2 linked regions of the Arabidopsis thaliana genome follow. The protein of the gene in region 2 interacts with the protein of the main gene of each other region in a pairwise test. Each region holds a gene or a part of one and is shown on either strand. Other genes may lie near its edges.

What was found.
Region 1: the proteins of AT1G70030 (region 2) and AT5G41920 interact in a two-hybrid assay, tested with the Arabidopsis thaliana proteins (2 studies listed by BioGRID).

What each region holds. Positions count from the first base shown.
Region 1 is NC_003076.8:16,776,397-16,783,973, forward strand, and holds AT5G41920 (GRAS family transcription factor), read left to right. Parts: upstream 1-3,246; 5' UTR 3,247-3,585; coding exon 3,586-4,803; 3' UTR 4,804-5,028; downstream 5,029-7,577. Other genes in the region: AT5G41908 (uncharacterized protein), read left to right, coding at 887-1,042; MED10A (Mediator complex, subunit Med10), read right to left, coding at 1,764-1,835, 1,925-2,014, 2,088-2,193, 2,272-2,352, 2,425-2,636; AT5G41940 (Ypt/Rab-GAP domain of gyp1p superfamily protein), read left to right, coding at 5,643-5,860, 6,923-7,058, 7,149-7,198. UniProt on the Arabidopsis thaliana protein: Probable transcription factor involved in plant development.
Region 2 is NC_003070.9:26,375,014-26,383,166, forward strand, and holds AT1G70030 (Paired amphipathic helix (PAH2) superfamily protein), read left to right. Parts: upstream 1-3,627; 5' UTR 3,628-3,819; intron 3,820-3,842; exon of another isoform or gene 3,843-4,171; coding exon of another isoform or gene 4,172-4,204; coding exon 4,205-4,335; intron 4,336-4,429; coding exon 4,430-4,613; coding exon of another isoform or gene 4,614-4,643; exon of another isoform or gene 4,644-4,651; intron 4,652-4,929; coding exon 4,930-5,025; intron 5,026-5,106; coding exon 5,107-5,178; 3' UTR 5,179-5,366; downstream 5,367-8,153. Other genes in the region: AT1G70020 (transmembrane protein, putative (DUF1163)), read left to right, coding at 2,357-2,754, 2,861-3,140; AT1G70040 (transmembrane protein, putative (DUF1163)), read left to right, coding at 6,220-6,524, 6,619-6,895.

The DNA.
Region 1 (7,577 bases), on a different chromosome or scaffold from region 2:
TCTCCCTTACCCACACATACAATAAAGATACTTTCAAATACATAATTTTAAATTAGTATTTGACAAATACACAAATATTCTACATAGGTACAATACATAATAACTAGTAAGAAAGACCGACATTTTTTTTTTTATGAATGAAAATTATTCAGCCAAAGACTACATTTACAAATTACAATTACATGCAACTTTTTGCCAAAGTTTAAAGAGAAGATCAAAGTAAAAACAGATTGAGGTTTAGTTGGTTCGAATGTGTTTTCGTTGATACTTACGTATTTCGGTATCAAGAACACGATTACTAAAACAAATTTTGAAAGCAATGTTAAATACTTTAGAAGGAGTTACGTTTTTGATTTATGAGTATTCTTTCATCTAATATTGCAAAACAAATTCGTTTAACGAAGTCATAGAAAAATTATTTAAAATTGATATACAATAATCTTTTATCTATTTAGGTAATATTCGGAAAATTTTAGATCGAAACTCATACATCTTTTTATCGGAATATCAACTTCGCAACCTTTAGAAAATCCTATGAAACACAAATCTTTAAAAAGTCATAGAAAGCTACCATTAGACCAAAACCACTTGGTTATAGGTTTCTACTTTCTACCACTAAGATATGTAACATTATTACTCTTTGATCATATTCACTAATCATTTCGATTGTCATAACATATATCACCAAAACTCATTTGCGTTTTTAAGTTTTTAATGGAACAGAGGCACACCAAACTCATTTGTGTTTCGAAGTTTTTGCTGTTCATGTTGGAGGTAGACTCAAAGTTCTTCAGGACTTAGCTCACTAGCTGACTCTGCATCCCCAAAAGGTCGCTGTATGGTTTCAGAATAGACGAGCCAGGTCCAACACCAAGCATTACGTTGGATGCCGGTTACGAGTCTCTTGAGCCTCCTCCCTATGGACAGAACCGCGTCCTTCATCTTTCTTTACAACAGCTCACATGGTGTCACTGAAAACTGGTTTTCTGCAGCTGCAGGAGAACCAAGTATTGATATGGAGACTATAAAAGCAGAGCCATAGTGTCTGATTAAACGAAGCAGAGCCATAGTATCTGATTAAACTACAAATCTGTATGATCCCTTGGTAGTTGAAATAGTAAAAGCGTGAAGGAAGTGATCAAAGACATTTATCAAAATGTGTTTGTAAGAATGGTTGAGAAAAGGAAATATATCTTTGAGAGCATGGTTTTCGGTGATGAGAACTATTGGAAATAGTAACACAATGCTTAAACACACAGACCATCAATATATAAATACCACCCTCTAGTTGGAGAGTGGTCAAACAGAAGCCAATCTAAACACGATGCTTGTGTAGTTAACATTACTACAGCTAAAGATAATGAGAAGCTTCCTTTAACCAGAGATAAGACAAAAATTGAAATTGCAACCAACTCAATGCAAAGCCATATCACTTCTTCTTTCGGCAAGAAGATTATCTTATACAGAACCAAGATTAATCGTCCTAGTAAAAAGCAAATCTTATGTCTCTGATAGGAATCTATCACATACTAGGTACAAAACCCATCGATAGAACTAAGAGACTAGTCTATTTGTAACCTATGAGTGACTATTTAACAGCCTCATGAGTCATGACCTCAGAAAGCTAAGGAGAAATTCTCAAACTATATTAGTCAAGTGCAAAAGAACCAACGGATGTTATAGAAATTCCAAGAAGGCTTGTTCGTTTACATCCTCATTGATCTACTTGAAAATTTTATTCTAAAAGGCAAGATTCATAGCTCTTATAGCTCACTCTTGACCTTAGCATCCCCATTTGGTAACACACTTTGCGTTTGAGCCAACCGTTTTGCTTCCTGAATTCAAATGAAAATAAATTTATCACCTTGACTAACTATTGTAGAAACTATCTCAGATGAGAAACAAAGGAACGTCAACAACTTACAGCAGCATAACTAGCACGTATGTCTCTATACCGATCGACTTCATCAGGAAAAGCCTGTTCAAGCTCCTCCAAGAGATGTTTTCTCAAACCCTGTACCAAACAATGTCGACTTTAAAATCATGAGTGGCCAAATTGAGAGAACCAGTAGAGCAAAAGGAGTCACCTTAAAAGCATCACTCTTTCCCTTTGTAACTTGATTTTTAGCAATGCAGTTCTTATTAAGAACATCTTTTGTAAACTCATCTGGGTTCTTCCCATCATCAATCAAGCTACAACAAACAAAGATATATAAACATAAGAGAGCAACAAAAATTCTCTAAAGAGTCTAAAAAGGGACTTGTTCTCACTTAAGAACCTCAATGGGGACTTGAATGTTGCATTTATCAGACAACTTAGCCATATTATCAAGCTCCATCACAAGAGAATTGCTGCAGATAGAGACAAAATTTCAATCACACAATACTCAAAACAATGGATCAATAGAGAAGAAGAAAAGTTACAGGCGTTGGAGGAGGTGAAGCTGAGAAGCAGGTGTGAAAGAAGAGACGGTGAGTTTTAATTGATGAAGGAGTTCTAAAATTTTCTGATTCGAGTTTATAATTTGGTTCAGCTTCTCATTTGAATCGTCGACGGTTGCAATTGCATTGATTTCGGTTTTTATCGAACCGTTGATTTCACCAATTCCGGCGATTGTGTTCTGTGTTTGATCCATCACCGAATAACTAGAAACGCGATTAAAACACACACAAATTAGGGTTTTGAATCACGGAAACATAGAGGTTGAGGGAAACAATTTATGTAGAGATCAATTCCAATTGACACAACTGGATGAAATTTCTGGGAACGATGAAACCCTAGGACCACCGACGAAGAAGAAGAAGAAGAAGAAGAAGTTCAGAGAGCGTACATGGATGGATTTGAGAAGAAGATCACAGGCGCAAAGTCAAAGTGGTCAAAAGAAAATTAACAATCGAGTTTTGAATTTGTTGTAGTCATTAATGGGCCTTTGGGCTTTTATATGGTTTTCAATGGAGTTAAGTCATGTCCATTTACGGTTACTTAAACTAATGGGTCTATTGTTTTGAACTTTTGATTTTAAAAGGTGGAGATGGTTCTGAATCTCTCTGGTTAAGTATCAATCCATGAGACCTTTTTTTTTTTTTTTTGAATGAATGTGTGAAATTATATTCAACTAAAACAACTGTTTTACAAATCAAATTCAACTAAAACAACTGACAAATTAAATCTCTCTGGTTAAGTGGTACATTTTTAATGTCTCTAGTCTCTACACATAAACGATTAACATGAGAGTTCACCAAATCTTTTCCAATTGGGTTTGTTCACTTGGTTTCGTTGGTTTTAATCTTCACAAATAAAAAAATGGTTTTAAGTAAATAGAAAGAAAAAAGAAAAGAAAAAAAGAGTAATCGAAGGAGCTGTAATCTTCACAAAGAGCACTTGATTATAACATTGAATCTTTTGCAAAAAAGATAAAAATCTTTTCAAGAAACTGATCCATCCAAAATACTATCTTGTCTTCACTCTTCAAAATTCCTGTCATTACTCTCTCGAACCCTTTCTCTTTTCGAATCTCCACTTTTTTTTCTATCTTCTGCTTCTTCTTCTTCTCTCTTCAATGATTCCACTCTCACAAAATCTCCATGACTACAAAACGCATAGACAGAGATCTCCCATCTTCCGACGATCCTTCCTCCGCTAAACGCCGTATCGAATTCCCCGAAGAAACACTCGAAAACGACGGTGCTGCCGCAATCAAACTCCTTAGCTTACTCCTCCAATGCGCCGAATACGTAGCTACTGATCATCTCCGTGAAGCTTCAACACTTTTATCCGAAATCTCCGAGATATGTTCTCCGTTCGGTTCCTCGCCGGAGCGAGTCGTCGCTTACTTCGCTCAAGCGCTACAAACGCGCGTGATCAGCTCTTACCTCTCCGGCGCGTGTTCTCCCCTCTCCGAGAAACCACTCACTGTTGTTCAGTCTCAGAAAATCTTCTCCGCCTTGCAGACTTATAACTCCGTTAGTCCTCTGATCAAATTCTCACATTTCACGGCGAATCAAGCCATTTTTCAGGCGCTTGACGGAGAAGATTCCGTTCATATCATCGATCTCGATGTTATGCAAGGTCTTCAATGGCCGGCTCTATTTCACATCCTCGCTTCACGTCCTCGAAAACTCCGATCAATTCGAATCACCGGATTTGGTTCCTCCTCCGATCTACTCGCTTCAACTGGCCGGAGACTCGCCGATTTCGCATCATCGTTAAACCTCCCTTTCGAATTTCATCCAATTGAAGGCATAATCGGAAACCTAATCGATCCGAGCCAACTCGCAACGAGACAAGGAGAAGCTGTGGTGGTTCATTGGATGCAGCACCGGTTATATGATGTTACAGGGAACAATCTCGAGACGTTGGAGATTCTACGGAGGCTGAAACCGAATCTGATCACGGTGGTGGAGCAAGAATTGAGCTACGACGATGGAGGAAGCTTTTTAGGAAGATTCGTGGAGGCTTTGCATTATTATAGCGCGTTGTTTGACGCGCTAGGAGATGGATTGGGTGAAGAGAGTGGTGAGAGATTCACGGTGGAGCAGATTGTTTTGGGGACGGAGATAAGAAACATTGTGGCGCACGGAGGAGGAAGAAGGAAGAGAATGAAGTGGAAAGAAGAACTGAGCCGGGTCGGGTTTAGACCTGTTTCGCTTCGGGGTAACCCGGCGACACAAGCGGGTTTATTGTTGGGTATGTTACCGTGGAATGGATATACTTTGGTTGAAGAGAATGGAACCCTCCGTCTTGGCTGGAAGGATCTCTCGCTTTTGACTGCCTCTGCCTGGAAATCTCAGCCGTTCGATTGATTTTATTTTTATTTTATAATGCAAACTGCAAAGTGATCATTAAGATTTTTTGTTTTGAAAATATTTCCAAACAAATTACGATAATTACGATAAAAAAAAGTCTTCATTGACGCAAAAAGTTGTTGATATTGAGAATGAGAAGGTTGTTGATACTAAAAATGAGAAGGTTCATGTTAGATAACTATATGCATAAGAGAGGTTCTTGTTAGATAACTATATGCATAAGAGAGGTTCATGTTAAATAACTCAATAAGCATAAGAGGTTATGACTATACACATATCTGTTAATAAAGTCAGCTACAACAAATAGAAGGTCTAATATCATAGACGATACCACCATGAAAAATCATCATTTCTCATAGTATTCATGAAAAACATCAAGTGGAATTTTTATGAGACCATCAACTTCTTACATTTAGTGAAACTGGTTTTTAATTTGTTCCTTCAATTCTTAAATCAAATCTAGAATTCATACAACTTGAGATTCTTAGAAAATTCAGGATACTTGTCTCTTTTTTCTTCTTTTTTTGTACAATTTTAAAAGAAAGATGTAGTGCAAAAGCCAAAAATCGAAAACAAAAACCAAAAACTAACAAAATAAAAATAAAATGACAACCATTCTTTTTTTTGGGGGGGGGGGGGGAGGAGGGGAGGGGGGGAAAGAAGAAAGAATGACCCAACTGTATGAAGGCCCATTAAAAAAGTGGGCCCAATTTCTATAAACGACCTTCGACTTTTTCAATAATCAATTTTCATCCAATTCAACTCAGGAAATTGCTATGATTTTACTCTGAGAATCAGAAGAAGAAATCTCGGTGAGCAAAATCCCTAGTTTTGGGATGATGTTTCCACGACTACGATTGACGAAGGTCTTCTTCTCCCCGATCATCGCCGGGAAATGGATCGTCTTTGCCGACGGTAGCAGCGGCGGCGGCGTTGGTAGAAATGGCTACTACGGTGGATTGTGGTCGTCGGCCGTTATTCCTTCCAATGTTGGTTTAGCTGTCGCTGTCACCGTCATGGCCGTGGCCGTCGCTTTCACCGTCTACTCTCGTAGGTATACACACAAAAACGATCTGATTTATGTTCTAATCGATTTCTTCAAAGCAAAGAAGCAATGCTTGTTCACTACTTAGTTAAGTAGTTATTTGGTATCCATAGATTTGATTGGTTCTTGCTTCTTTGTTACCTCACCAATTCGAGGCTGGATCGTCATGCCTTTAGGTTCGAAGAATTCTCTGTTAGTTAGGTTATTGTGATTGAGTTCTTGGTCCAATGTTAGCTGCTAACTCGTACTTCCACTACCTCTTCTTGTCATGGAACTTGTAAGACTCTCAGGCTGAACATAGTCCTGGCCATATTCTGTATTCATAGACTCTGATGCGTATAATGATTTTGAGGCTCGAAGCACTAAGGCTTTTTATAGTATAATGAGGGAAAATGTAACCAATGTTTAATGTTTACTTTTAGGTTGTTTGCTGGGTTGTCTCTTTTTGTATGACATGCTCTCTTGGTTAGTATTGAACAAACAAAGTGATTCTAGAAGGGTCCTTAGGTGGAAGTCTGAAACTTCATGAACTTTGTATAAACTCCTAAAGGAACTCTCGATAATCAACTCCCCAAGCTTTGTATTTGTGTTTCTTCTTTTGCAATTTTGTCAGATACATAAGCTTTTTGTTGCTAAATCTCTTATCATCGAATTCAGAAATCTGTTTTTGTTGTTATAACTCTTTCTACAACCCAAGCAATGAAGCTATTTTGTTTAAGTTCTGCATCATAAATATGCATACCATGAAGAGTTGGATCGAATAATTGCAGCCTGATATGATCTTTTGTCTTCTGGTCCTTATTCTAATTCTTGGCATCTCTTGGACTGTTTCTGTATGTAGTGATGAAGTGGTTAAGAGTCTTAGGTCTTCTGATGTGTGATAGAACTCCATTGATACTTTCAATTATTTTTAACATATATGAATATAGGACATAACATGTACCATTTAGCCTGTCTTATTTGTTCAAAGAAAGCTTTTTATCACTACATTTGGTTTGGTTTTATGTAATTTTTTTTCTTTCTAAACTTACTGGACGAAGTTGCTCATTTTCTGCTCATCTACTTCTTCAGAGGAAGCATTGGATCACCGTGGTCACTAAGGAGAAGAAAGCGAGTTCTTCAACCTAAACAATGGAATGCTTTTTTCACAGAGGAAGGGCGACTCAGTGATGGAGGTGTCAAATTTCTGAAGAAAGTTCGTAGTGGGGTATGTTGCTAAATAAGAAAAAAATCTGCTGTAATCTGCAGTTGATAACCTTTTGACACTTTGATATACTAATTTTTATTTTTGTTTCAGGGTGTACATCCAAGCATCAGACCAGAAGTTTGGCCGTTCCTTCTTGGAGTGTAAGAATCAGCATCTTGTCACTTTTCCTTGTTTTTTGTATACTTTTATGAGTTTTATCTTTTTCGGCTACCATTGGGGGTTTTCTGTTCGGCCTTATGTTCATACTCATGCATGGTCTATTGATATTAGCTTTTTCTTTGGGGATATTGATGTTATGTAGGTTTAAGGTTGAATAAACAGTGCATCAGTAAAGCATTCATTAACTAGGAGATCAGAGAGTTGCCTTAATGTTTTTCTATCAAGAGATTTATAAGATTAGTCCTAGTTTCGCCATACCAAACTCCACCAGCCGTCGCCCTACATTCCATTAACTTGATAATGAAACCTGTGCAAGTTATTTGTAGTCTTTATCATCTCGACACATTGTAACCTTATGCT
Region 2 (8,153 bases):
CAGTCCCATAGTGATAACAGATTTATTTTTAGTGATAACAGTTTTGTTTTTCAGTGTTAAAACATAACAGATTTTCTCATATCAATGTTATGGCCGATTTATTTATGACTAGAATAAACTTTTTAGTAATAATAGACTTTTTGTTAGCAGATTTGTTTTTAAAATTTCGAATTTTTTTGTTACATGAGATTTATTAACTAGCCCTCAAGTAAAAATTTTCCGGTTTGATTGTAGGTTAAATCCGGTTTGATTCAATTTTTTTTTTTTTTGAAAAAGAAATTTTCATAACGTCACGACAGACTTTTATTAATGTCGGCAGATTTTTACATAATATTGTCATATTTGAATTTTAATGAATTTTATTAGTCATAATAAATTCTCCAAGGGTTTTCATAACCGTTTTTTTTCTTCTTCTATTCCTACCATCAAATCAATTATTTGTGAATTGATACATGTCAAAATATTATTGGTAAGCTAAAACAAGTCAATTTATAATATGCAATATCAAAATTAAATTGTTTTTTTTTAGTATTTTTAAAATCAAAAACGAAATATGTGAAGAAGATTCTTCTTTATCTAAATTTTGTTCAAAATTATTATTTAAAAAAAAGTTTGTTCTCACGGATTTTCGTTTTTGTTTTAATTATGTAATATAGGTTTTGGTTTTCTTTTTTATCCACGATTTCCTTTTTGATTTTATAATTCTGTTGAAAAATAATTTGGTTTTGCTGATTTGTCAAAATTTTATTGGTGGAGTGACTTGTGCTTTAAAATATAAAAGATTTGTTTTATTTTTTATTTTTTGTTTTAATTTGATTACAATTAATCATTAAGGTTATTTCGTCTTTTTACCAAAGATATGGCTTACTACAGTTTTTGAAACCAAACGTGTGTCATTTAAGTTATTTATGTTAAGAGTTGAGTCAATCTAAGCAAATCTTACTAAAAAAATTTATTGCCATAAATACAAAATAAAAATCTGGGAACAACAATGAATATGAGAAATTTGTTCATCGGTAAAACCTATGTAACTGCAGCGCGTACATTAGAAATCATGGATCTCAAGAACATATCATAGAACCTACGTATAAATTACAATAAGCGTCGATCTCAATAACATTTCATAGAACCATAAGTTTACTTTATTAATTTATATTGTACGGATAATTCGAAATTACTTTTCATAAGAGTAAAGGCATTCCAAAACCTGAAAAAAAAAAACAGTTTTTAGGTCCTTTAAAAGAATTTATAAGTAAGAATTTATAAGTATATCTTATTGTAAAGCACGCGAATATCTTTCTCTTGGAGTTTAATTCGACATACATTACTTAAAAAGTATATACACTATATACATATTCATGTACGTGTGGTGTGTGAGGGAAAGAAAGATAATTAATATATATGTTGGGATACGAGATCAAGTACGAGAAAAGATTAAGGTGTTGATTAGTTGCTTCTAATTGTCATCTTCATGACTAGACCATACTTTGGTATACACAACTGGTTACTTTTAGTTTGAGATGCGGCGGTACGAAAAAAATTAAACAAATTAATGTGTGTTTCAAAATATTAATTATAGAATTCAACACTGTTTTCTTAGTTGATCTCTCTAATGCTACAAAATATTCTGAAGATTATAATATAAGGTGCTACTAAATTATCCATGGTATGATTCGTATATCCAACATTTTTTCTGTATTATTTAGAATTTTTAACAATTAATACTTTCTCCCTAAACAAAGTTTATAAAAATTTCACTCAAGTTTCACTATTGAACGAATTGGTAAACAAAAATAAATGTTTTGGCTATTTAAAAAAAAAAATTGGTGCGGTAAAGAATGGTAAAATTGTAGCGAGGTGATAATAGAAAGTTGTTAAGAAACATCTCAAATTACAGCATCTTGGCCGATAATAAAACTAATATACTATGTTTGATCATCATATGATTTATTTTTCGTTCTAGCCTGCTTCTTTGATTCGTAGCCAAACAAGCTGGAGCACTCCCAAAGTCCCGAGTCTTAACGTTTTATGGCCCATTAACGATCTAAAGCCCAACATAAAGAACCTATTTCTATCCTTTGAGAAGTTTTCTCTGTCCGACGATTCATAGCCAATTAACGCTAAGATTACTATTTGATTTAATCTAAAATATCTTTAGCGAAAAGAAAGTTATTTACCAAAATCTAAAAATTTATATGTAATTATCGAAATCTTTTTAAAAAATTTGATATGTAATTATCGAAATCTTCTTATAAGAACAATATACCAACTCTTTTCTTTAATAACCCTAACAAAAAAAAGATACATAAATCTGGTGCATATACACATCTCTCTATCCGTCTCTCTCTGGGTTTCAATGGATTATGAAAACGGAGAAATAATAGCTCCTAAATCCACCACTTTATGGGATAGACTTACACCACGACAAAAAAAGTATGTGTTCACGTGTGTCTTGGTTTTTTTGATCGCTATCGCAACCGCTGCAATTATCGTTTATGCCTACTCTGAATCAGCACAAGAACGACGTGAAAAACGGCGTAAAGAACAACGTATAGAAAACTATGCACCGGATATTATAATACCATCTATGGATTTCACAGTCCTTAATTTAACCGAGACTAGTCTTAGTGTTAAATGGGATTTAGTGATCAGGCTTCCTTCAGATCTTCCTGGTTACTATATGTGTCTCAAAGGAGATTTGCAGACTTTCATACTTTACAAAGGTGTTACCATTGCTAATTCATCCTTAGACAGGTTACACTTTTTAAAAATTTCAATACTCTTTTTTTTTTTTTTTCTTTAACTAATTTCGTTTGTTCATATATTTTTGTTTGAACTTTTTTGTGTTATGCTCTATCAGTTACAATCTGATACCAAATTGGCCTCAGCTGCTTAATACCTCATCGGTAATTGCTTCTGAGGGAGATATGGACAGTGTTGTTGTGAAAGACATTATGGACGATATAAAGGAAAGAAGAGACATGCGGTTCGGATCGAGGTTGCTTCTTCCGGATTGTAGATCTGGGAGGAAGATGAACTATACGTGTGATGAAACTGCGGTTCGGTTTGAGCCTGGCTCTCAAAGGAAGGCAACTGCGTTTGAAAACGCCGCTCCTATATGCCACTATATTCACACTTAAGTAAAATTTTCATCAATAATGATTTTTATGTTTTAGTTTGCATATGTTGGATCTTCTTCTTTTGCCTTTTGATATCGTAGGAAAGAACTTAAACAACACAATGCGCTTTTGTTTTTTTTTCCTTTGGCTTCAATGGAATATACTTTGTTCTAATGTATTATTATTTTCGTTAATAATTATACTCTCATAGTAAGATACTATTTTTTAAAAAGATTCTATTTAAACATATGGTACTACATCAATATCATAAGTTAATCATTACATCAACTTAAAAAATTTATTTAGTTAGTCTGTTTAACGTACCGAACCGATAATTAAATTTCGAAATCAAATCTACCGATTGGTTTGTATCTAATAACCAAACTAGAACCGATTTGCACAAACTTCGGTTTGGACTTATCAATTTTGTTTTTAATCTGAAGGCCTACTTTTTTCTTTCTATAAATATTGGATAAGACTCATAAAAGTAGTATTTGGTATATTAAGAAAAAGAGTAAAAAATCCATATAAAGGAGAGAAAATCGAATCGTTATGTTAACAAAAAGATTATGTTTAACGTACGTGATATTAAGTATCTTTATATGACTCATGTAGTTATTTATAAACCTAAAACCTTACGACTTTCTTTGTGTCAATTGTCAAGTCTTTTGTATCTTCCTGTAAGCCTGTTACGTGTGAGGTAACGTGTCCATCAATACTTGTGTCCTAGCGAACTTTGATCGATCCTCTTCACTTTGATCCTATCTTGTTTCTATACTGAAATTCTTAGATCAAAATATAGTGTGACATAATCTGAGGAGTAAGTTAGATTCAAATCTTCTGGTCGATAGCTGTAAATTCCCTTGCAATGTTTTCTATGACTCTAATTGCTAGATCTGCGCTGGTTGTATGAATTTTTGGGATAATTTCGATTATTTTTCTTTGAACTTATATATCTTGAATTCGTTTATTGAGATTTAAGACTTGTATTGATTTTCAAAGTTGTTTATATTGGGAGTCGAACATTAATCTATTTTCTCTTCCTCTGGATAATGAAGCACTTGCCAGTTGTCAGTTTCAAAACCATGGTTGCAAATAAGAAGCTAACTACAACCGATGCACTTGATTTCCTCCATCTTGTAAAAACTAAATATCAAGATAATCGTGAAATATATGATAGTTTTCTTACGATCATGAAGGATTTCAGAGGTCAGAGGTATTTTTTTTCTTCTTCTTCCCTCATAATAGTTTCAGCTCTTAGTTATATAAAGTTTTGGTAAACTGTTTTTTTTTTTTTTTACTAATTGTAGAGCTAAAACATGTGACGTCATATCAAAAGTGAAAGAACTCTTCAAAGGGCAACCAGAGCTTCTCTTAGGTTTCAACACATTCTTGCCAACGGGGTTTGAAATAACACTCAGTGATGACGAACTTACGTCAAATTCGAAGTTTGCTCACTTTGACGAAGCATATGAATTTGTCAACAAGGTCAAGGTAGTTGGGCAAAATCATACTAGTAATTAGAGTTTGATTATGATTATTTTGATCCAAAAGATCTAAAATCTAAATAAAAAACAGGTTTAGTCATTTAAATTTAGAGAGATGAATAAACTTGTTTAGATTTTAGTGTTAAAATTTAGGATATCAGATTTATCGTTTTAATTAAGGGTTAGTTTCGGTGTAAATATTTCGGTTTATATCATTTGTATTCTCTATTGCTGTTTATTTTGCAGCCCTACTAGAAATTATATTACTCTTTTCTGTACAATTTTTTTTTTTACTTTTCTCTTAAATATCATTTTTTCTGTAGACAAGATTTCAGAACAATGATGTATTCAACTCATTTTTAGAGGTTTTGAAAACGCATAAAAAGGAAAACAAGAGCGTTGCTGAGCTCTACCAGGAGGTGTATATATATATATGTTTCACTACCTTTTCTTTTTCCATCTTTCTTGTATTGGATTTAATGTAATGTATTATTTTGTAGGTGGCTATCCTTTTTCAAGGCCATCGAGACTTGCTTGAGGAATTTCATCTCTTTCTTCCACATTATGGATGAAGAATGATGAATTATGTATACAATGAAGCCATGCAAGTTGTGGTTCAAAGCCACTTTATCTGCTTCCATTTGACTCAATGGGGATTATCATTAGTTTGTTGCTGAACTGGTAAAACTAGTACTCAATTTTTCAAGTTGTTTTATACTATTTAAACTGAATATTATGGATAATACACAAATTATTTATCAATTTACTTAAGACAATATAATTATGCTTAGTGAGAATGTACCAAACCTTTTTTTTTGGGTTAAAGGTTGCTGCACTAATTAAAAGAACAAACGGCGAATTACAAATTCTCAAATAAACGACAACAAACCCGACACGGTACAAGAAGATAATTTGAACCAAACCATACAAACAAAAGAATATTGCCTAGGTGTTGAGGTGGCTCAACTGTGGAAGCCAAAGCTCTATCAGATGCAATGCTAACAAGAGAGAAGTCGAATGCAGGGAAGAAGCTATCAGATTTTAAAATCCAAGCTGATGCGTTTACTCATTTCATCTTTAATTGTGAGTTATTAATTTTGAAAACCAGACTTTTTTTGTAGGATAAAGAACTTTTACAACTTTTTTTCTATAACCCTTTTAATATATGGTTTTTATTTTACTTTATTTGTCTAAATTTCTTTTCTAATACAGTTACAAACTTTTATATTTTTATCTTAAATATTTCAAAACTTTTAGATTTTATACATGGTGAAATCTGATGATTTAATTGATATTTGTTGCAATCACGAGAGTTAGCAAGTTTGAGATTATTGTTTTGAAATAAGATATGGAGGATAAATTTATTTTAAAAAAGAGAGAGAAAAATGAAAAAATAAGAAAATACTTAATTATTGTTTTGAAATACTTTAATTAATTAAAAACAACTATATCTTTAACTAAATTTTAATAACATATCATATAATTAAGTATAGGTTAAAGTTCATTTTCTTAAAAATTATCTTTCCTTAACAACTATATCTTTATTAAACTGTCTCATCTTCCTTTTGCACTCCAAAATAGTTTCCTCGTTTCTCTTCAATCAATCACTTAGAATGGCAGACGAAGAACTATCTATAGGAGTGCGGATCTTCGTTTCTTTTCTCATAGCCTTTGGTATTTGTGGTCTGGTTTTGTTGATGATAAAAGACAATTCTGGCAAAATCCCGGTGCCGAAAATAGAGTTAGCTTCAATGGATTTCACGGTGCAAAATATTACAATGACTCGTCTTAATGCAAAATGGGATTTGTCGATAAGGATCCCTGATGATCTTCCTGGTAAGTATATATGTCTTCAAGGAGACCTTGAAGCTTCCTTGCTTTACAAGAATGTCACTCTTGCTACCTCATCCCCACAAAAGTAATGAATCTATTTCCTACTATTTTTTAAACCCGTTTTAAATTCCTTAATTCGTTCGTATTTTCAAAACTAATTGAATCTTGTATATGATCAGATACTACAATCTCAAATACTTCAATCCTCAGCTTCTTAAGATTTCAGCTAATGTTTCCGAAGTAGATATTGGCGGTTTGATTGGAAAAAATATTATTAACGATGTCAAAGAGAGGAAAGAAGTACACTTCGGATCGCGATTTTCTCTCACGGATTGTAGAGAAAAAACGACAGGAGTTATGAGTTATGAGTGTGACGAAGCCACCTTGCGGTTCGAGCCAAGCTCTGAGATGAAGGCGACAATGTTTGGGGACCATCCAAACTGCATCAATGTTTGACCAAAGTCCATGTCATCACCATGCCAGTTCATTGTTATATTTTGGCGTCAATGTTAATTTGACTCGGAGAGTGGGGAAACATAAACGAGAGAAGTTGGGTCGTGTAGGTACATAATGGGCCGACAATAACAAACGCTAAAACTAAAATGTGTGAAAATGCCAATATTTGGGCCCAAAAGATAAGAAAACTGGAAAGGAAGTAAAAGTGTACGTAGGATTAATTAAAAAGATAGTGTAAAACAAAGGGGGCATTCGGAGAATTGAACTCCGGACCTCTCGCACCCTAAGCGAGAATCATACCACTAGACCAAATGCCCAATTTGATTGAAGCTTCACTTTGTTGTTAGATAACCATATTCTATGTCACCAAAAATTATCCACATCTACATAGTCATCTTAAGTTTACCTACCTATCAAAATTCAAAAGAGTATTAGCAAAGTCCGACTGACAAACTAAATTTGAACCGACACGAGAGAAATGATTTTTTCATTGGAATTATTTGATTCTTAGAAGTTGAAAACTTACTTTAAACTAGAAAAATTACAAATCACAAAACCACCTTAAAGAACCAAACGACTTAAATGATCCATAATCATATCTACGATCTACCAATATAGCCTATACATGAAATAAAACAGTTCAATAAATAAATAAAACAAAACTGGCAAAATGCTTTCTAGATCATAAAAAGCCTCGAATTTACTAATTGTAGCACATGACATTGATAGTTAAATTCTCCTAACATTCCTATTATACCCACACCATCACCCAAAAATAACAAAATCACCGAACTACACAAACCCGAATTGCAAGGTCCCAAAATAACCAAAATCCAATCCTCTAGCTCTGCTGCGCCCTAATCCCCCAATTAACCTCACCGGCTATAACCGGTTACTCTACCTATAAGCAACCTAGCAACGGCTGTCTCTAAGTTGTATTTCATATTTTTTTCAATTCTTTATTTTCCATCATCGATATATGTTTCTCTACCGTTTTTTATTTATTTATTATTCTTATTATTATTATTTTTATTTTTTTATATTAATCATTTGACTGTTGTTTCCTCTACCGTATTTACTACATTTTTAATATTAATAAACTTTTTTTTAATATGTTTCATAATAATAAATAATATATGGTGATGGAAAAGGTAAAAAATAACAGGGAAAACTTTTTTTTGGTAATTAAGTAAAAAATGGGCTTAATGAATAGTAAAATAGTTATTACACCAAATCATATAATATAAACAATAAATTA